Linked DNA regions of Anolis sagrei. The protein of the gene in region 1 purifies or fractionates together with the protein of each later gene. This does not show direct contact. Links are inferred from orthologs where the notes say so. Each region holds a gene or a part of one and is shown in the gene's direction. Other genes may lie near its edges.

Evidence for each region. Proteins that work in one complex are often made in the same cells at the same time.
Region 2: the proteins of SSRP1 (region 1) and CHD1 purify together in Homo sapiens (affinity purification with mass spectrometry; 3 studies listed by BioGRID and IntAct, with this or other methods). This does not show direct contact. The link is inferred for Anolis sagrei from reciprocal best matches to the Homo sapiens genes SSRP1 and CHD1.
Region 3: the proteins of SSRP1 (region 1) and SAP18 fractionate together in Homo sapiens (co-fractionation; 3 studies listed by BioGRID and IntAct, with this or other methods). This does not show direct contact. The link is inferred for Anolis sagrei from reciprocal best matches to the Homo sapiens genes SSRP1 and SAP18.

The regions. Positions count from the first base shown.
Region 1 is NC_090021.1:233,759,931-233,767,138, reverse strand, and holds the start of SSRP1 (FACT complex subunit SSRP1), read left to right. Parts: upstream 1-4,195; 5' UTR 4,196-4,295; intron 4,296-5,678; 5' UTR 5,679-5,855; coding exon 5,856-5,909; intron 5,910-6,364; coding exon 6,365-6,550; intron 6,551-6,990; coding exon 6,991-7,096; intron 7,097-7,208. UniProt on the Homo sapiens protein: Component of the FACT complex, a general chromatin factor that acts to reorganize nucleosomes. The FACT complex is involved in multiple processes that require DNA as a template such as mRNA elongation, DNA replication and DNA repair.
Region 2 is NC_090022.1:251,871,373-251,878,237, forward strand, and holds the start of CHD1 (chromodomain-helicase-DNA-binding protein 1), read left to right. Parts: upstream 1-3,844; 5' UTR 3,845-4,252; intron 4,253-6,865. UniProt on the Homo sapiens protein: ATP-dependent chromatin-remodeling factor which functions as substrate recognition component of the transcription regulatory histone acetylation (HAT) complex SAGA. Regulates polymerase II transcription.
Region 3 is NC_090023.1:28,526,360-28,533,270, forward strand, and holds the start of SAP18 (histone deacetylase complex subunit SAP18), read left to right. Parts: upstream 1-3,890; 5' UTR 3,891-4,143; coding exon 4,144-4,215; intron 4,216-6,911. UniProt on the Homo sapiens protein: Component of the SIN3-repressing complex. Enhances the ability of SIN3-HDAC1-mediated transcriptional repression. When tethered to the promoter, it can direct the formation of a repressive complex to core histone proteins.

The DNA.
Region 1 (7,208 bases):
TAAATAAACCACAGCACTTGTGATGCCCAAGGACAGCAGTCAGTGCTCTGAAGTGTTTTTGTCTCAGCAAGTCAAAGAACAAATCTGGGAGTAGATTTAAAGTTGCTTGTGAGGGAGTAGTTTTAAAGTTGTTTGTTTGTTTAGCTATCAAGACAAAGAAAGAAACCTTAAATCAGAAGGCATGGTTTATTTACTTGCATCCCTTGCTACATCGTTAATCAGAAAATGAAAATCAGCAGACTGCCTCATCAATGTTAAGTTAGAATTATTGTAGGAGCCTGGCTTAGTGAAATACTTGGATGCAAGCACCTCTAGGGATCTAATTCATGTTCTCCCATGAAAGCCTATCCAATCCTCAAAATATATTATGGGTATCTTTCCCAAAACAACAACGTGCTAGAGGGTACAACACCTATCACTTGCTGGGCTTTTATTAGAGCAAGTTTTAAAATAGTGCTATTTAGTGTGGTGCCAGGACTGGTTAATGAGTTATTAGCTGCCAGTCCATGGAGTGTTTACAGAAAACAATCAGTTATAGCCAGTGACCACAAATATATACTTGTCCCTGATACACAGAAAAAAATAAAATGTTGGTTCCCTTTATCAGATGGCTTAGGGAGTATTTAAAGACTTCATTACACTGAACAGGTCACGTGTTTGGGGGAGTAGGCTTACCATTCAGTTTAGGCATACTCTGTTTTGAAATTGAAGGTATGGTTTTCCTATCTTCATCACACACTTTTCAATCTATCTGTTTTACTCAGGAATCCTCCATTGATTTGCCATCACACAGTTGAGATTTGTCCCCATCCACTGTCCCTCCCCAGTTTGCTTTATGGAAAAAAACTGAAGAAAATTGCTGACAGTAAAAGATAACTGCTATTATGGAAAGTTATGGTGTTCTGGACTTCACCTCCCATAATTCCACAATTCCAATTCCAAAACACCTGGAGGATCCAAGTTTGCCCATGCCTGATATAGATGCATCCTCCATCACATCTATATAAATAAAAATGTTTGTGGGATTAACATAACTCAAAAACCACTGGACAAATTGTCACCAAATTTGGCCACAAGACACCTACTAACCCAAGGATTGACTATCACTCAAAAAATTAATTTTGTCATTTGGGAGTTGTAGTTGCTGGGATTTATAGTTCACCTACAATCAAAGAGCATTCTGAACTCCACCAATGATGGAACTGAACCAATCTTGGTGCACAGAGATCCAATGACAAACAGAGCATACTGGAAAGATTTGGTGAGTACTGACCTTGAGTTTGGGAGTTGTAGTTCACCTACATCCAGAGAGCACCATGGACTCAAACAATGATGGATCTGGACCAAACTTGATACGAATACTCAATATGCCCAAATATGAACACAGATGGAGTTTGGGGGAAATAGATCTTGACATTTAGGAGTTGTAGTTACTGGGATTTATAGTTCACCTACAATCAAAGAATATTCTGAACCCCACCAATGACACAATTGGGGCAAACTTCCCACACAGACTCCCATGAGCAACATAAAATACTTAAAGCCATCCAGTCCAACTCCCTTCACCAGGGCAAGGAAACTTAATCAAAGCCCTCCTGACAAAGAGCCATCCAGCCATAGATATAGATATAGATACATGATTCACACACACAGATATAGTATCAAAGAAGGACAATATGTTGTATGTTCCAGAGTACACAAACCAGACAATCTCCACACCAATATTGACAAGAAAAGAGGAAGAAATACTGTTTACGCACAAGCATAAAGAAATTACATATATTAGAAACCAACACTTTCTCATTACTTTATTTTCCAGATTGCCAGACTGGGCCACAGCAACTCGTGGCAGCGGACAGCTAGCATCTATATAAATAAAAATGTAATGTTCGTTTGTGGGATTAACACAACCCAAAAACCACTGGACGAATTGACACCAAATTTGGACACAAGACACCTATCAGGTCAATGAGTGATCATCACTCATAAAAACACTGAAAAACAGTGGAAGGGACTTAAAAAGCCAAAAACCAAAAAATATATTACAACACATGCACAAAACCACATATATACGCAAACACACACATATACAAATATATATATACACACACACATACACACAACACATATGTGTATAACACACACATATACACATAACATAAATATACAAAACACATATACACAGACTGGGTCACAGCAATGCGTGGCAGGGGACGGGTAGTCTTTGTTGTTGTTCATTCGTTCAGTCGTTTCTGACTCTTCGTGACCTCATGTACCAACCCATGCCAGAGCTCCCTGTCAGCTGTCACCTACCTCAGCTCCTTCAGAGTCAAGCCAGTCACTTCAAAGATGCCATCCCCTCTTCCTTTTTCCTTCCATTTCCCCCAGCATAATTGTCTTCTCTAAGCTTTCCTGTCTTCTCATGATGTGGCCAAAGTACTTCAACTTTGTCTCTACTATCCTTCCCTCCAGAGAGTAGTCAGGCTTTATTTCCTGGAGAATGGACTGGTTGGATCTTCTCGTGGTCCAAGGCACTCTCAGCACTTTCCTCCAACACCACAGCTCAAAAGCATCTATCTTCCTTCACTCAGCCTTCCCTATGATCCAGCTCTCACATCCGTAGGTGACTATGGGAATACCATTGCTTTAACAATGCGGATCTTCGTTGCCAGTGTGATGTCTCTTCACTATTTTATGAAGATTGGTCATTGCTCTCCTGCCAAGAAGCGTCTCCTGATTTCCTGGCCGCAGTCTGCGTCTGCAGTAATCTTTGCACCTAGAAATACAAAGTCTGTCACGGCCTCCATGTTTTCTCCCTCTATTTTCCAGTTGTCAATCATTCTTGTTGCCATAATCTTGGTTTTTTAAATGTTTATCTGCAACCCAGCTTTTGCACTTTCTTCTTTCACCTTGATTACAAGGCTCCTCAGCTCCTCCTCTCTTTCGGCCATCAAAGTGGTGTCATCTGCATATCTAAGGTTGTTAATATTTCTTCCAGCAATTTTAACCCCAGCCTTGCATTTGTCAAGCTCCGCACATCGCATGATGTGTTCTGCATACAACTTGAATAGGTTGGGCAAGAGTATGCAGCCTTGCCATACGCCTTTCCCAATCTTGAACCCGTCTGTTGTTCCATGGTCAATTTTTACTGTTGCTACTTGGTCCTTAAACAGATTTCTCAGGAGAGAGACAAGGTGATTTGGTAGGCCCATACCACCAAGAACTTGCCACAATTTATTAAGATCCACAAATACAGGGTGAGGCAGCATAACTTCCTTTTTTAAAATGTGCGCCATTCAGTCGGTTGAAGACGTAGTGGAGCGCTAGTGGTCTCGTTTGAGAGGCGGGTGTATAAAGTTTTGTCCTGACATAGTTCAGTCGCCATCATGCGTTGGAACAGTGAGGAGTGTGCTTTTGCCGTTGAGGCCTATTTTTTTAGCGGATTTGGAGTGGCCGGCCCGCTCTCCAGATTTGGCCCCTTGTGATTTTTTTCTATGGGGTTTTTTGAAATCCTGTGTTTCTGTGAACCGTCCACGGACCCTACAAGATTTGAAGACCAACATCCAGGAAGAAATTGCCAACATAACGCCTGCTATGCTGGCAAGGGTCAGGACAAACGCCAGAAATTGGTTTATTCAGTGTATGGAGAATGGGGGACGTCGCCTACCTAATTTGATCTTCAAAACTACATAAAACAAAACTTTAGGTATGCGCCTACATTATAAAAAAAAACATTAAAATTTCTGATTCATACAATGGGTTTTATTAAGTTTTGAAAAAAGGAAGTTATGCTGCCTCACCCTGTATATGCACACACAATGCACATATACACAGACTGGGCCACAGCAACGCGTGGCAGGGGGTGGCTAGTTACAAAATAAAAACATCAAAGCAAAAAAAATATGCACCATGCACGTGATGGCGAGTAATTTTTTGGAGAGTAATTTTTTTAAACAAATTCCCATAAAACCAGGGAAAAGGCCTTTTATGGGCGTCTCTTTGAAAAGCAGCCTGTGGTTTTCACCCTCGAGACCCAGAGGGCGGAGCGCCATCCCGCCCTGGCCTCCCTCCCGAGTGATTCGCAGCTCAGTGGCCGGTTTCGAATGTGCACCGGAAGTTTAGAGGCGCAGAAAGCAGCGAGGCAGTGCAACTCTATAACCTTTACGCGCCAAGGCCGGGATGACGTCATTCCGAAAGGCGGAAGTGTGGTTTGGCTTCCGGAGGGCATGGGAAGGGGAGGCGGGCACAACTCGTGTTGCGCAGGCGGGAAAGTGTCTGTGGTGAAGACGGACTTGGTAATAACATGGGGCTCCTTGTTGGTGGGGGAAAGGGGAAGAAGGGTGCTCAGGGAATCGAACTGACGGGCCAAGGATCCTCTGCCTGCCTGCCTGCCTCCCTTCCTTGTAGGGCAAGCTGAGCTTCACCCTTCCCTGGGGTTGGGGCCTTTGGCCCTCAGTGGGGTTTCCTTCCCACTGGGCCAAAATATCATGGAGATTTATATTGACAGAATATTGCAATTGCTTTCTTTTGGCCAAGACAGTAGCCTTCAGCGTTCGTGTGTGCGAGGCAGAATGGGGTGGGAGTGAGCAGATGTGTGCTTGCTGCCATAACATCATCGCCATTATTATTTATCTATTTACACCCTTCTCCCCCCCCCCCCCAAAGGAGACTCAAAAGAGCTGACACTAATACAGTGTGTAAATTAAAACCTAGATATCACACATGTACTGCTTAGTTGTAACTTGTACGATAAAGAGAGAAACCAATATCTTGGGCCATGCACTGTACAAAAGACACACTGGGATCCGTATATTACAACTACATTTTTAATGGCCAGCCAGAATGCTAAAATAACATATAAAACTGACCTTTTTTATTTAAAGCAACACAGCTAAGAACTGCATGTTTAGAGTTGATTGGGGAAAACTGCAGAGGTGATGCAGATACTTGATCTGTATTGGGACTTTGCTAACAGCTTGTTTATTTTAACTTGTGTTGTACTGTGGGTTGCATGCTCTATGTGTTTGTTAAATGTTTTGATATGGGTAATGGGGTAATCAATGAAACGTACTACAACATAGCTAAAATCATTAAAAATCTATATTAAGCACAGCACCCCTGACTTACTGTAAAACTTTCTTTTTTCTTTTCTATTTCTCCCTATGGGATGGGGGAATAACCACATACAAAACACATAATCACTTAACTTGGTGGTTGGGTGGCTGGAAAGTTTGTGGGATCTCTTCAGTGACACCACACTTGGAGTGTAGATGCATTAATGTGGTTTGACACCACTTTAACTGTCATGGCTCAGTTCTATGGGATCCTGGGAGTTGTAGTTTGGTGAGGCACCAGCATACTCTTTGACGGATGGCTCAAGGCCTTGTAAAACTCCAGCTCCCATGATTTCGTAGCACTGAGCTGTGGCTATTAATGTGATGTCAAACTGCATTAATTAGACAGCTAATATAAAACTATATTTATATCCCGCCACCATCTCCCAAAAAGAGACAATCACTATCAACACATAAAATAACACAATTTAAAATCCCCCCCCCCCCCCCCCCGGGAAACAGAAGTTTCTCTGTATATTCCAAGGTTGGGGTGGGTTGCTTTTTCATGGGGATTTTCATGTTTTGAGGTTTGTTATTTGGGTAATTGTTTTGTTTCTTTCCCAGGTCTCTAGATCTCTGGACTTCTGACAACTTGCGTTATCAGTAAATATGTCGAATTCAAGAAAGGATTAATATATCTTGCCTGATTCTCTCCAGAAAGCTTTCCTTCCAGAACTACACATCTTGGTGTGACTCTAAACCCATTTGTAGTGGGGGCGGGGTAGGGAGAGAACAACCACCATGGCAGATACATTGGAATTCAATGAAATATACCAGGAGGTGAAGGGATCTATGGTGAGTGTTATGGGTTTAATATTTAAAATCATTAAACACAAAGGGTTTGTTTGAAGTTATATGTTTAAAAGGAAGCTAGTCCCAATATTTTGCTGCAAAATTCTTGTGTGTGTGTTTATCTGAGTGCTCCATCTCTCATAGGAAGAAAAAAAATGTTGCCATGCACCTTGATGATTCAGTAAAGAATACTTGGATTAGAAAGAACTTTCTAATGACAGCTATAGAGACTGAAGTTATGAAAGATGTTTAGTGGGAGAGGGTAAAAGTTGATTAAAGTAGCAGAGAATAGAAAGATCAGAAGACAAAAAAGCAATCATTGGATATGACAGTATGGAAGTAATTACTGGTTTTTGCAAGCACTGGTTCAGAGGCACTTGGAGGAATGATATTCTTTGCCCAGCTGCTGTGGCCACTGTTTCTATGTCTCTAGCCTTCTCTGTCTCTTTCTGTGTTAGAATGATGGCCGCCTACGGCTAAATCGCCAGGGTGTGATTTTTAAGAACAGCAAAACTGGAAAAGTTGACAACATCCAGGCCTCAGAATTGGCAGAGGGCATCTGGCGCAGAGTAGCACTGGGCCATGGTCTCAAACTACTTACGAAGGGTGGCCATGTCTACAAGTATGATGGATTCAGGGAGACGGTAAGCTTCCGTTTAATATAAGTTTATTTCTAATTATTGTACAGTAGAGACCTCTACAGGTTTCCATGACTTAATTAGGGGGTGGAATTTCCAGTATTAAGGACAAGACAGGTTGAATTTGCACCTGCATAGGTGTGGATAACATTGTATTTTGTATATGTGGTCTGTGATGTTGTCTAGCATATTCTTATGTATAAAAATGTCTTTGTTAATATAATTTGTTACTATATATTTTTTATTGTACCATGGGTAGATACAAAGACTGGTGGCAGTTTACTGGGCTAGTTTTTATCCTGAGGGATTAGGAAGGAACCAAAAGACTCATGTTGCTCGAATGGCACATTGGTAACCTTGATTTTTTTTGCCCTCCATTACAATGAAATCTACTTACTACAATATTAACTGGATGCTTCCTAATTAAGCGATTTCCTCCCTTTTAGGAATTTGATAAACTTGCAGATTTTTTCAAGACCCACTTTCATTTGGAGCTTGCTGAAAAAGATTTGTGTGTGAAGGGATGGAACTGGGGCACAGTAAAATTTGGAGGTAAGTTCTGATGGGGCCAATGCTGTCCCATGGGAAACAACATATAGAAAAAAGTCTAGGAGTCACAGCTTTTGGGAAGGAATGAAAGAGTTTTCTGGTTGTCTTGGAGAGA
Region 2 (6,865 bases), on another chromosome or scaffold:
CCCGAATTTTTTTCTGGCTACGGCCCTGGGCAGGATATAAATACCATAAATAAATAAATAAATAAATAAATAAATAAATAAAATGTTATTTTCTAAGGTGGAGAGTGTGCGTTGCCCAAGGTCACTAGAGGTGTGTCTACACTGTAGAATTAATGCGGTTTTGACACCACTTTAGGAAATACATAGGGTCCTTGGTATATTGGTGCTGAAAAGAGAGAGAGAAGTCAAACCTCTGATGCTATGGCATCCTGGGAACTGTAGTTTGATGAACTGGCACTCTTTGGCAGAGAAGGCGAAAAGCCTTATTTGGTGCACATTAGTAGAACAAGGGTGCATCTACACTGTAGAACTACTGCAGTTTGACGCAACTTTTACTGCCATGTGCTTAATCATGTGAATATGGAATCATGGGATCTATAGCTTTACAGAATCTTTAGCCAAACAATCCTTGAGCCAAACTACAGCGCCCAGGATTCCATACCACTGAGCCATGGCAGCTAAAGTGGTGCCAAACTGCATTCATTCTACAGTGAAGATGCAGCCGCAGTGCATTTTCGTGGCCCAACAGGTATTCAGACCTGGTCTCCAGAATGTAGTCCAGCACTCAACTAAAGTTTATTTGTCTGTGGCACAACATTAATTGCAAATGTTTGTAATAATACAGCAGACTATTAATACACAATCCACTGCTGATGACTTGAGGGATTTGGGAGGTTCAACATTCAAGCTGCTACACCCCACTGGCTCTTTATGGAGGCTTACTCAGAGAGGGAAGTCCCTCAGCCTTCAATGAGTCAGTTCTTTCTTACGTAAAACCGCAATCTGAAACCACTAGTACTACACATACTTAACAGACACACACGTGTCTCTTGAGACAAAAGCTTCAGGCTGTGAGCTGCTAGTGGAAGGTAATTTGGGGCCACTTTGAGTAAGAGAGCAAAAGTTTTTCTCTCAGGCACACAGGCAGTAAAGCAGAGTCTGTCCACTATGGGTGCATTTATACTGTAGAATTAATAGTTTGACACATGAACTGCCGTGGATCAATGCTATGGAATCCTGGGAGTTATCGTTTAGAACTCCCATAATTCCATAGCACTGAGCCAGAGCAGTTCACGTGGTGCCAAATTGCATCTCTCAGGGCACATCAATACTGTAGAATTAATGCAGTTTGATACCACTTTCACTGCTGTGCTTCAATGCTACAGAATCCTAACAGTTGTAACTTTACCAGGTCTTTAGCTTTCTTTGCTAAAGAAAGCTAGTGCCTGATCAAAACTACAAATCCCAGGATTGTGGAGAATGGAAGCAAGATGGTAACAAACTGCATTAATTCTACAATGTAGGCCCTATAGTGGCAATTTAATTCAGTTTGAAGCTAGTGGTCAGATAACAAATGATAGCCCTTAATGTGTCTCAGTATTGTGTGGTTTGTGTAATTACCATCAGGGCCTCAAACTGGTTTCCTAGGGATATACAGGTAGTCCCCAAGTTACAAACATCTTACGTACGAACAACTCATTGTTAAGAACATGGGAGAGACAACAGGAAGTGAAAGAAATCTGACCCTTGGATGGGAAATTCACCCCAAATGGGAGCCTTCCCGGGGCTCATCGAACTGGCATGGATTATTAATCATGTCAGAAGCAAACCGAAGGTACAGTTATAATGCATTTAAAAACACAAAGTTTTAAAAACTTGGCATTATACTAAATGTCCTTTAACCAGTAGCCGGCCACTTGGAGTGCCTCTGGTGTTTCTATAAGGTCCTCCATTGTGAATGTGAGAGGGCTCAGACTGCATTGTAATAGGTGGTCTGAGGTTTGCTCTTCTCCACACTCACGTTGCAGACCCCACTTTGTGGCCCCATTTAAGGTTGGTGCTGCATCTTGTGGTGCCAGAGCGCAGCCTGTTTAGCGCCTTCTAAGTCACCCAGGGCCCTTCCACACAGCCCTATATACCAGAATAACAAGGAAGAAAATCCCACAATATCCACTTTGAACTGGGTTGAGTCCACACTCAGATAATGTGGGACTTTCTGCCTTGATCTTCTGGGATATAGGGCTATGTGAAAGGGCCCCCAGTCTTCTGTGTGCCCAGGGGGGAGTTTCTCATTTAGTATCAGCCATAGCTTGAGTTTCTGGGTTTTAGCCTGCCGCTTTTGGACTCTCGCTTGCTGAGGTGTTCCTGCAAGTATCTCTGTCGATTTTAGAAAACTATTTCTTCATTTAAGGCACTGGTGTGCTGGCTGATATCTGAACAGGGGGTGGGCCAGAGATGTCACTTCAACTGGCATTGAAGAATGAGACTCCCCCCTGGGCACACAGAAGACTGGGGGCCCTTCCACACAGGCCTATATACCAGAATATCAAGTCAGAGAATCCCACAATATCTGCTTTGAACTAGGTTGAGTCCACACTCAAGATAATGTGGGACTTTCCGCCTTGATATTCTGGGATATAGGGCTATGTGGAAGGGCCCCCAATCTTCTGTGTGCCCGGGGGGGGGGGGGGGGGGCTCTCATTTGGTATCAGCCATAGCTTGAGTTTCTGGGTCTTAGCCTGCTACTTTTGGACTCTTGTTTGCTGAGGTGTTCCTGCAAGTATCTGTTTCGATCTTAAAAAAACTATTTCTTCTTAAGGCGTTGGCGTGCTGGCTGATATCCGAACAGGGGGTGGGCCGGAGATGTCACTTCAATGTATCCAAAGGAGGGCAACTAAAATGATCAAGGATCTGGAGAACAAGCCTTATGAGGAGCGGCTTAAAGAGCTGGGCATGTTTAGCCTGAAGATAAAAAAGGCTGCGAGGAAACATGATAGCCATGTATAAATATGTGAGAGGAAGCCACAGGGAGGAGGGAGCAAGCTTGTTTTCTGCTTCCCTGGAGACTAGGGCATGGAACAATGGCTTCAAACTACAAGAAAGGAGATTCCATCTGAACATTAGGAAGAACTTCCTAACTGTGAGAGCCGTTCAGCAGTGGAACTCTCTGCCCCGGAGTGTGGTGGAGGCTCCTTCTTTGGAAGCTTTTCAACAGAGGCTGGATGGTCATCTGTCGGGGGTGCTTTGAATGCAATTTTCCTGCTTCTTGGCAGGGGGTTGGACTGGATGGCCCATGAGGTCTCTTACAAGACGATGAGAAATACCAGGGCCCAATTATTATTATTATTATTATTATTAACTTTATTTGTACCCCGCTAACATCTCCCGAAGGACTTGGTGCGGCTTACAAATAAAACAACAGCATAACAAATACAACAATAAAACTCATAAAGCAAACCAATAAACATTAAAGCAGTAACAGTAAAACATCAAAACAATACATCATGACACATTTAAAACTAGGACCAGGCCAAGTGTAATGAATAAATTAAAAAGTGCTGGACATGACAGGTGAAATGTAAGGATTTTAAGGTAGGCGCGATGTGCAGGCAATCTCAAATCTCTGGTCAAGTGCGTTTGGGACATGATGCTGGGAGTTTCCTATTCTGGAAAGGCACACTGGAGCAGCCAGGTCTTCAAGCTCTTCCTAAAGACTGCCAACGTGATGGCGATGACACAGAACCACGGAGAGGCCTTTCTTTCGCGTGGGTTTTGTTGTGGGAGTTGGATGGCTGGGCCTCAGAGCGGCCTGGCGGATGAGGCCTCAGAGGCGCATTCCCTCACTTGGCGCCCTCTTCCCTTCCTCTTCTCGTCATAGCGGCCTGCTTTCCTTCCTTCCTGCTTCCCTTCCCCTTCGCCCTCTGCTCCTTTCCCGGCCTGCCTCGCTGGCTCCTCCCCCTTCCTTCCTCCCTCCCTTCCCGCTCAGTCCAGGGCTGACATCACGCCCGGGGTTTCCATCGGAGGGGGAAAGAGGGAGGGAAGGAGAGAAGGAGGGAGGAGGAGGAGAAAGAGGAGGGGACACTCGGCGTGATGATGGCGGCGGCCGGGAGCGCTTAAAGCAACGGCGCCTGCCCGCGCACCTCAGGCCCCTCTTCCGCTCCCTTTTGTTTTTTAACCCCTTCGAGTCTTCCTTCCTCTCTCCCTCCCTTTGCGGAGGGACTCGGGCTTCCTTTCCCTCCCTTTTGGGCCTAGGCCGAAGCCAAGCGCCGCCGAAAGAGAGACAGCGAGAGAGAGACTGAGAAAGGGCGAAGAGCAATCCAGGCCGGACCCGGAGCGCTTCCTTCTTTCCTTCCTTCCTTCGCCGCAGGCCTCTCTCTCTCTCTCGGGTTTATTATTATTATTCCGCGACTTCCCTCAAGAGGAGAATGAAGAGGTAAAAAATGAAAAACCGGCGGGGAAGCCGAGGGTCAAAGGCTTGAGGCGAGGCTGGCGGGCGCTTCAAGTGTAGGCCGCAGCCCAAAGGACAGTGATTTGCTGAGGGAGGGAAGCAGAGGGGAGCCAACTCGAAGCCGAGGCGCGGGCAGAGAAGGGGGAAAAGCAAGGCCTCTGCTGGAGGGAAGGCCCAACTTCCCAGAATTCAGGGAGAAGCGGGGCTTTTGTTCCAGCCTGGCCTACGTGTCCCGTTCCCCTTCCTCCCAGGGTGCATCCACACTGTAGATTTGATGCACTTTTCATTGCTCAAGGAGACAGAACCCTGGATGTTGTCTCTTCGCTGGGCCTTGTGTTGCTACAACTCCCAGGATTGGCAGTTTGCAAAAAGTGGTGCCAAACTATTCCTTTCGTATAGAGGAGACCTGGGCCAATTTGGGCCCTCCGGGCCCAAATTGGCTCAGGCCTGGTGTAGACTCAAAACCATGCTGTTCCTCTTTTCTCTTTTGTTTACTGTTAAGAGAGAAAAGAGAGAGAAGGCCAAAGGCGGCCTAGCAATGGCAGCAGTGATGACAATAATGAGGAGGAGGAGGGGGATGAAAAAGGCGCCTTGCGTGGAGCAGCTAGGCACCCACGACGTTGGGGGAGGGAGGGAGGAAGCCCATTTGTTTTGGCACCCACTAAATCCACGAGGCCCGCTCCTCATTGGCTGCCAGGCGGGCGAGCGGGGGCCCCGTGTGCTCGCGCCGAAAGGCCCCGCCTTTGGATTGCTTGGCTTCCCGGGCGGGGGGGGGGGGGGATATACAACAAAACAGTCGGAAAAATAGTAATCCAACTCTTCCATAAACTGATTTATCTCATGTTATCAATCACCTCTCCTACTGTGATATTCGGAAGTCCTGTGCAAACAGCTAGGGATGATTGGGAAGTAGTTGGGAAACTTGCAGCTCTTGCTAACTACTGCACTGCTTTTTAAGCAAGCACGGGCAAACTTTGGCCCTCCGGGTGTTTTTGGACTTCAGCTGTCACAACTCCTAACGACCTACTGGCTGGGTTGCTATGAGTTTTCCGGGCTGTATGGCAGCCATGGTCAAAGCCATGGTATTCCCTGTAGTAACCTATGGATGTGAGAGCTGGACCTTAGGGAAGGCTGAGCAAAGGAAGATAGATGCTTTTGAACTGTGGTGTTGGAGGAAAGTTCTGAGAGTGCCTTGGACTGCAAGAAGATCCAACCAGTCCATCCTCCAGGAAATAAAGTCCGACTGCTCATTGGAGGGAAGGATACTAGAGACAAAGTTGAAGTACTTTGGCCACATCATGAGGAGACAGCAAAGCCTAGAGAAGACAATTATGCTGGGGAAAGTGGAAGGCAAAAGGAAGAGGGGCCGACCAAGGGCAAGATGGATGGATGGCATCCTTGAAGTGACTGGATTGACCTTGAAGGAGCTGGGGGTGGTGACGGCTGACAGGGAGCTCTGGCGTGGGCTGGTCATGAGGCCACGAAGAGTCGGAGACGACTGAACGAATGAACAACAATATGGCAGTATATTCCAGAAGCATTCTCTCCTGATGTTTTGCGCACATCTATGGCAGGCATCCTCAGAGGTTGTGAGGTCTGTTGGAAACTAGGCAAGTGAGATTTATGTATCTGTGGATATATAAATTCTCCAGGGTAAGAGAAATAACTCTTATCTGCTTGAGGCAAGTGTCAATGTTACAAATGGCCACCTTGATTAGCACTTAATAACCTTGCAACTTCAAAGTCTGGCTGGTAGCCTGTGGGAATATTTTGTTGGGAGATCCATGATTGATTCTTGTCTGGAATTCCCCAGTTTTTTGAGTGTTGTTCTTTATTGCCAAATTTTTAGAGTTTTTTTAAAAATACTAGTAGCCAGATTTTGTTTATTTTCATGGTTTCCTCCTTTCTGTTGAAATTGTCCACGTGCTTGTGGATTTCAGTGGCTTCCCTCTCTAGTCTGACATAATGATTGTTAGAGTGGTCCAGCATTTCTGTGTTCTCAAATAATACGCTTTTTCCAGATTGGTTCACCAGGTGCTCAGCTATGGCTGGCTTCTCTGGTTGAGTTAGTCTACAGTGCCTTTCATATTCCTTGATTCATGCCTGGGCAATGCTGCATTTGGTGGTCCCTATGTAGACTCGTCCACAGCTGCATGGTATACGCTAGACTCCTGCAGAGGTGAGAGGATCCCTCTTGTCCTTTTTCGAACGTAGCATTTGTTGGATTCCTATGGGCTGTTAGGAATTGTAAGAGTTGAAGTTCAAAACACCCAGAGGGCCAAAGTTTGCCCATGCCTACTTTCAAGGGATATAACTATAGTAGACATACTTTAGCAGTTATTATCTTATATGAAACCCCTTTGAAGGGCCAGTTCCATCCTATACATGTTTGTTTACACTGGATTTGAATTGTATGGTATGACCCATTATCTACAGAACCGTGTACTCAGTTTCACTTTTCCATGACTTTGTTTATCAAAACTAATTTCTTGTTAAGGAGCTGGAATACTTAGAACTCACCTTAACGGATCTGGCTCTTAGCACATTGCTTTTAAAAGAACAATAATATAGAAGACATACTTGTATGGTCTTTATGAT
Region 3 (6,911 bases), on another chromosome or scaffold:
ATATATAAACCTCACTTGCTTAGTTTCCAACAGACCTCATAACCTCTGAGAATGCCTGCCATAAATGCAGGCGAAACACCAGGAGAGAATGCTTCTGGAACATGGCCATACAGCCTGGAAAACTCTCAGCAACCCAGTGTTTATTGACTGTTTACTAGTTATTATGTGTTTTTTTTAATGTTGTATATTGCCCAGGATCCCATGCAGGGCGAAAAGTGATACATCAATCAATCAATCAATCCAATAATAAAATGATGTTTACACAAACCAAATCACAGTTAGTTTTTGCATCCTAGCAAGCAATGACAACTAGGACTGTCTAATTCTGGTTCAAAATTACCTGTTTCCCAAGGAAAGGTGTTTAGCCACTGACATCACAGGTTCAGACACATTTTTGACAATTAGTTTTGTGAGTGATCCAAAACCAGCAATATTAGCTTCACAAAAGATTAAACTTCTTGTAAAACGCTGAACAGGGATGGTACCATATATTTTGCAGACTGTTTAATTATAGTTTTAAAACATAGTAAGCTGGCTCAAATAGTTGTTCAGAGCTCCATAAACGTATGAAGCTGTGAATTACCGTAAAGGCTGAACCTTTATCTTTGTCCTTTCTCTTGCGTGCCAACTCCACCTTATATATAACCAGATCATGAAATATGCTGCTTGAGGGATTCTGGGCGTTCAAAATTAACTTTCCCAAGCTCTACCCATTAAATGTGAACTGCTAGTTGTGGGATGTTGGGAGTTGCAGTTCAAGAAGTAATTTTTCCAGCTCTCCTCATTAAACTTGAACTGGGGAACCTGAACCACTGGTTGGGTGGGTATGTTCTGGAATCTGTAGTTTAAAAAGGAACTTTCTCAAGAGCCACCCATTAAACTGGAGAACATGAACTGCTGGTTGAGGGATTCTTTATTTGTAGTTCAAAAAGAAACTTTCTTAACCTCTGCCCATTCAAATTGAGATGGGAAACTTGAATTGCTGGTTGAGGGATTCTAGGAGGCATAGTACAAAAAATAGCTTTCTCGTGTTTTGTCCATTCTACTTAAATCGGGGTACCTGAACTGCTAGTTGGTGGGTTCTGGAAATTGTAGTTTCTCAAGCACTGCCCGTTCAACTTGAACAAGGAAAGCTAAACTGCTGGTTGGGGGATTCTAGGAGTTGTAGTTTCTCAAGCACTGCCCATTCAACTTGAACTGAGGAAGCGAAACTGATGGTTTGGGGAATTCTGGGAGTTGTAGTTTCTCAAGCACTGCCCATTCAACTTGAACTGGAGAGGCTAAAATGCTGGTTGGGGGATTCTGGGAATTGTAGTTCAAAAAGTAACTTTCTCAAGCGCTGCCCGATAAAACTGGGGAAGTTTGGTTTAAATTCAGCCAAAATGGAATAAAAACAACAAATAAAGAACGGAAAGTAGATTATGGCCCACATGCCACAGATTTCTGGTGGATACTATCTGTGTATTGTTGGGTGGGATTCTTGCAAGGCACACTAATCTAGACAGACCCAGATCTTATCCAGCAAGACACTTCTGAAGTTCTTACATGCTTAAAGCTCAAACACACACACAATCCCACTTAACACAGTTTTGTCATGCCTTCTCTGTGAAAAGATGGTGGTCATTTATGCCTCTTTGTTTCAAACAGATCGGCAGGCCACGAAAAGTCTAGTTAATATATTTACCGTGTATACAGCCCACCCATCACTGCAGTTGGACCACCCCAGTTGCACAATGTGGATTTCTTTTTCTTTATGCTGGGAGACTGGAAAATCTCTGTTGGTGTACAGACCGAAGAGTAAACAAGAGGGTCAAACAGCTGTAAAACTGTCATAACAAAAGGACAACACAGCTGCTTTGAAAAGTACACAAGAGATCAATTTTCTGCCCATCAGCATTAAATTACATCCTCTCTCAATTTTTAAATGCTCTGCATCAGAATAGTCATTTTGTTCATATCTGAACTCTCTAGTAATAGCTGCGTAATCTTTTTTTCTGGCTGGTTTAATGACTTCCTCCACCCCCCAATTCAAGTTCAATGGGGAAAGTTTAAGAAAGATACATTTTGAATTACAATTCATAGAAACTCCCAACCAGCAGTTCAGGTTTTCCAGTTCAGTTTCAATGTGCAGAGCTTGAGAAAGTTTCTTCTTGAACTACAACTCCCAGAATCCCCCAACTAGCAGTTCAGGTTCGCTAGTTCAGGTTTAATTGGCAGAGCAAGAAAATCCATCTATATGCACAAAGACACAGCTCTTGAATGGCATTGTCTGCTTTTCCTTATTATATTAAGAAGATCCCAAATATAATAATAATAATATCCCAGGTGACAGCAGGATTGAGAAGTAACTGGAAAAGCTTACACCAGTGTTTCTCAACCTTCCTAATGCCGCAACTCCTTAGTACAGGTCCTCATGTTGTGGTGACCTCCAACCATAATGTTATTTTCGTTGCTACTTCATAACTGTAATTTTGCTACTGTTATGAATTGTAATGTAAATATCTGATATGCAGGATGTATTTTCAGTCACTGGATTAAATTTGGCACAAATACCCAATACGCCCAAAATTTGAATACTGGTGGGGTTGGGGGTGATTCATTTTGTCATTTGGTAACGCTGGAGTTGCTGGGATTTATAGTTCACCTTAAATCAAAGAGCCTTCTGAACTCCATCAATGATGGAATTGAATCAAACATGGCACACAGAATTCCCATGACCAAGAGAAAATATTGGGAAGGACTGGTGGACATTGACCTTGAGTTTTTGGAGTTGTAGTTCACCTATATCCAGACTGTGGACTCAAGCGATGACGGATCTGGATCAAACTTGGCACAAATACTCAATATGCCCAAATGTGAACACTGGCAGAGTTTGGAGAAAATAGACCTTGCCAATTGGGAGTTGTAGTTGTTGGGATTTATAGTTCACCCACAATGAAATAGCATTCTGAACCCCACCAATGACAGAATTGGACCAAACTTTCCACACACAACCCCCATGACCAACAGAAAATACTATGTTCTTGTGGGTTTTTTCGGGCTATATGGCCATGTTCTAGAGGCATTTTCTCCTGACGTTTCGCCTGCATCTATGGCAAGCATCCTCAGAGGTAGTGAGGATGCTTGCCATAGATGCAGGCGAAACGTCAGGAGAAAATGCCTCTAGAACATGGCCATATAGCCCGAAACACCCACAAGAACCTAGTGATTCCAGCCATGAAAGCCTTCGACAATACAGAAAATACTATGTTTTCTGGTGGTCTTTGGCGACCCCTTTGACACCCCCTCACGACCCCCACAGGGGTCCCGACCCCCAGGTTGAGAAACACTGGTTTAGACGATATGAGAATTTAAAGATTGAACTGCAAAGACTCTGGCACAAACCAGTCAAAGTGGTCCCAGTGGTGAATGGTACACTGGGTGCAGTGCCTAAAGACCTTGGCCTGCACTTAAAAACAATCAGCACAGACAAAATTACTATTAGCTGCAAAAGGCCACCCTACGCGGATCTGTGCGCATTATTCACTGATACATCCTAGACACTTGGGAAGTATTCTCACGTGTGATCAAATACAAAAGCCAGCATAGTGATCTTGTTTGCTGTCTACTAATCTTGCTATGTATCAAATCAATAATAATAATAATAATAATAATAATAATAATAATAATAGAGTGGAGCATGGTTTACAAGCCCCAAAGTCTTATCAGCCACATTAATTGTGGGTGATAAGACTTTAATGCGATTGGACCATTGGATCATCCTTGGTCCTGAGTTCAAATCCTTCCACAGACAAGACCCTTTTCTAGATTCCTTAAACAAGCTATATCCCACGCTCTAGTTTCTCTCTCGCGAGACAACAGGGGTAGTCTCACGAGAGCTCGCGGTTTCAAGTGAAGCCGCTCGAATCTTTCCTGGATGCCGCCATCTTGCCTCGGTAAAGCCACCAGAGGAGGTTTGTGGCGGTTTTCCGGGCTTTTATAAGGAAACGGTGGTCCCCACGAGGCGGGGAAGGAGGCTTGGGCTGGCTGTGCTTTCCCCGCTCCTTTTCTGAGGGACTCGGGCTCTCGGCCTTGCTTCCTTGGCTTTGTCTCCCTCTCAGAAAAGGCTTGGGCCTAGGAGTAGGAGGCGGCGGCGGCGGCAAGATGGCGGTGGAGTCTCGCGTTACTCAGGAGGAGATCAAGAAAGAGCCTGAAAAGCCCATCGACCGCGAGAAGGTAAAGAGAAAAGAGCCAGAAAGGGGAGGAGGGACAGACTACCTCTGAGGATGCTTGCCAAAATGCCTCTAGAACATGGCCATATAGCCCGAAAAAAACTACAACAACCCAGTGATTCCGGCCATGAAAGCCTTCGACAATACAATGAGAGAAAGACTGAAGGAGATAGTAAGGAATACAGAGAAAGAGGCCCCTTCCACACAGCTGAATAAAATCGCACATTAACTGCTTTGAACTGGGTTATATGGCAGGGAAGACTCAGGGCCCTATATCCCAAGGGCCCCATATCCCAGAATATCAAGGCAAAACAAACCCACATTATCTTGGATATCTTTGAACTTGGATAACCCAGTTCAAAGCAGATATTGTGGGTTATTCTGCCTCAGTATTTTGTGTGGAAGGGCCCAGAGAGAAACGAATGGGAGAGAAACAGAAAGGAAAAGAAAGAACACCTCCACAGGTTACCTGTTCCTGCAGAATTGATCACTATAAACACTGTATTGTTGAAGGCTTTCATGGCTGGAATCACTGGGTTGTAGGTTTTTTCGAGCTATATGGCCATGCTCTATTATTTATTTATTTATTTCAATCACTTATACCCCGCCCTTCTCACCCCGGAGGGGACTCAGGGCGGCTTACAGGGGAGGGCACAATTAGATGCCCGAACACATAACAAGTAATACAAAAAATAACAATTCAACACTTAAATTAAAACATCAGTACATAGTAAAAACCTAAAACAGTCTCATGTCAGGGTCCATATATCAGAGTCCATAAGTCCGTCCTATTCCGTTTGTCTTGTCTATTCCCAGGTCCTTGATTTAATTGTCAGAGTGACCAAAAGCTTGGTCCCACATCCAGGTCTTTAGTTTTTTCCTAAATGTTAGGAGGGAGGTCGCCGATCTGATCTCCCCAGGGAGTGAGTTCCACAGGCGGGGGGCCGCCACTGAGAAGGCCCTGCTCCTCGTCCCCGTCAGCCTCGCTTGAGAGACTGGCGGGGTCGAGAGCAGGGCCTCCCCAGAAGATCTTAAACTTCGAGGTGGGATGTAGAGGGAGATCCGTTCGGACAAATGCTCTAGAGACATTCTCTCCTGACGTTTCGCCTGCATCCTCAGAGACCTCACAACCTCACAACAGATCCAGGGAAGTCATGCTACCCATGCTCTATTCTGCATTGGTCAGACCACACCTGGAATCACACTGTGTCCAATTCTTGGCACCAAAGTTGAAGGGAGATATTGACAAGCTGGAATGTGTCCAGAGGAGGGCGACTAAAATGATCAAGGGTCTGGAGAACAAGCCCTATGAGGAGCGGCTTAAAGAGCTGGGCAAGTTTGGCCTTCAGAAGAGAAGGCTGAGAGGAAACATGATAGCCATGTATAAATATGTGAGAAAAATATCACCTCAACAAAAGTTTGCTCCAGGCACTGTCAGGCCATTTTATGCTAATCAAGGTGGTCAGTTGAAACATTCACAACTAGCTCCAACAGACAAGAGTTCTTTGTCCCACCCTGGTCATTCCACAGATATATAAACCCTTTTTCCTAGTTCCAACAGACCTCATTACCTCTGAGGATGCTTGCCATAGATGCAGACGAAACGTCAGGAGAGACTGCTTCTAGAGCATGGCCATATAGCTTGAAAAAAACCTACAACAACCTAACTATAAATACTTCTGAAAAATGTATTCCAGTTTTATTAGAATTTAGTATCTTCCATGATAAATGACCTTTGAAAAGAGAATATAATAAAAGGATCCTAAGGGCCCTTCCACACAGCCCTATATCCCAGAATATCAAGGCAGAAAATCACAGAATATCTGCTTTGGACTGGGTTATATAGCAGTGAGGACTCGGGGCCCTTTTACACAACCCTATATCCCAGAATATCAAGGAGAAAAACCCACATTGTCAGAGAGTGGACTCAGATAGCCCAGTTCAAAGCAGATATTCTGGGATATAGGATTGTATGGAAGGGCCCTTAGGTAACCCGGTTCAAAGCAGATATTTTGGGTTATTCTGCCTCAATAGTCTGAGTTATATGGTTGTGTGGAAAGGGCCAGAGAGAAACGAATGGCAGAGAAACTGGAAGAGAAAAAACACCTCCACAGGTTACCTATTCCTGCAGAATTTACTGCTATAACACTTCTGAAAAATGTATTCCAGTTTTATAGGAATTTAGCATCTTCCACACAGCCCTCTATTCCAGAATATCAAGGCAGAACATCCCAAAATGTCTGCTTTGAACTGGGTTGTATGGCAGTGAGGACTCGGGGCCCTTTCACACAACCCTATATCTCAGAATATCAAGCAGAAAAACCCACATTGTCTGAGAGTGGACTCAGATAACCCAGTTCAAAGCAGATATTGTGGAATATTTTGCCTTGATAGTCTGGGATATAGGGTTGTGTGGAAGGGCCCTTAGGTAACCCAGTTCAAAGCAGATATTGTGGGTTATTCTGCCTCAATATTTTGTTTGGAAGGGTCCAGAGAGAAATGAATGGGAGAGAAACAGAAAGGAAGAGAAAGAACACCTCCACAAGTTATCTATTCCTGCAGAATTTACCGCTATAAACACTTATGAAAAATTTTATAGGAATTTAGCATCTTCCATGATAAATGACCTCTTTTAAAAAGAGAATATAATAAAAAGATTCCAAGGGCCCTTCCACACAGCCCTATATCCCAGAATATCAA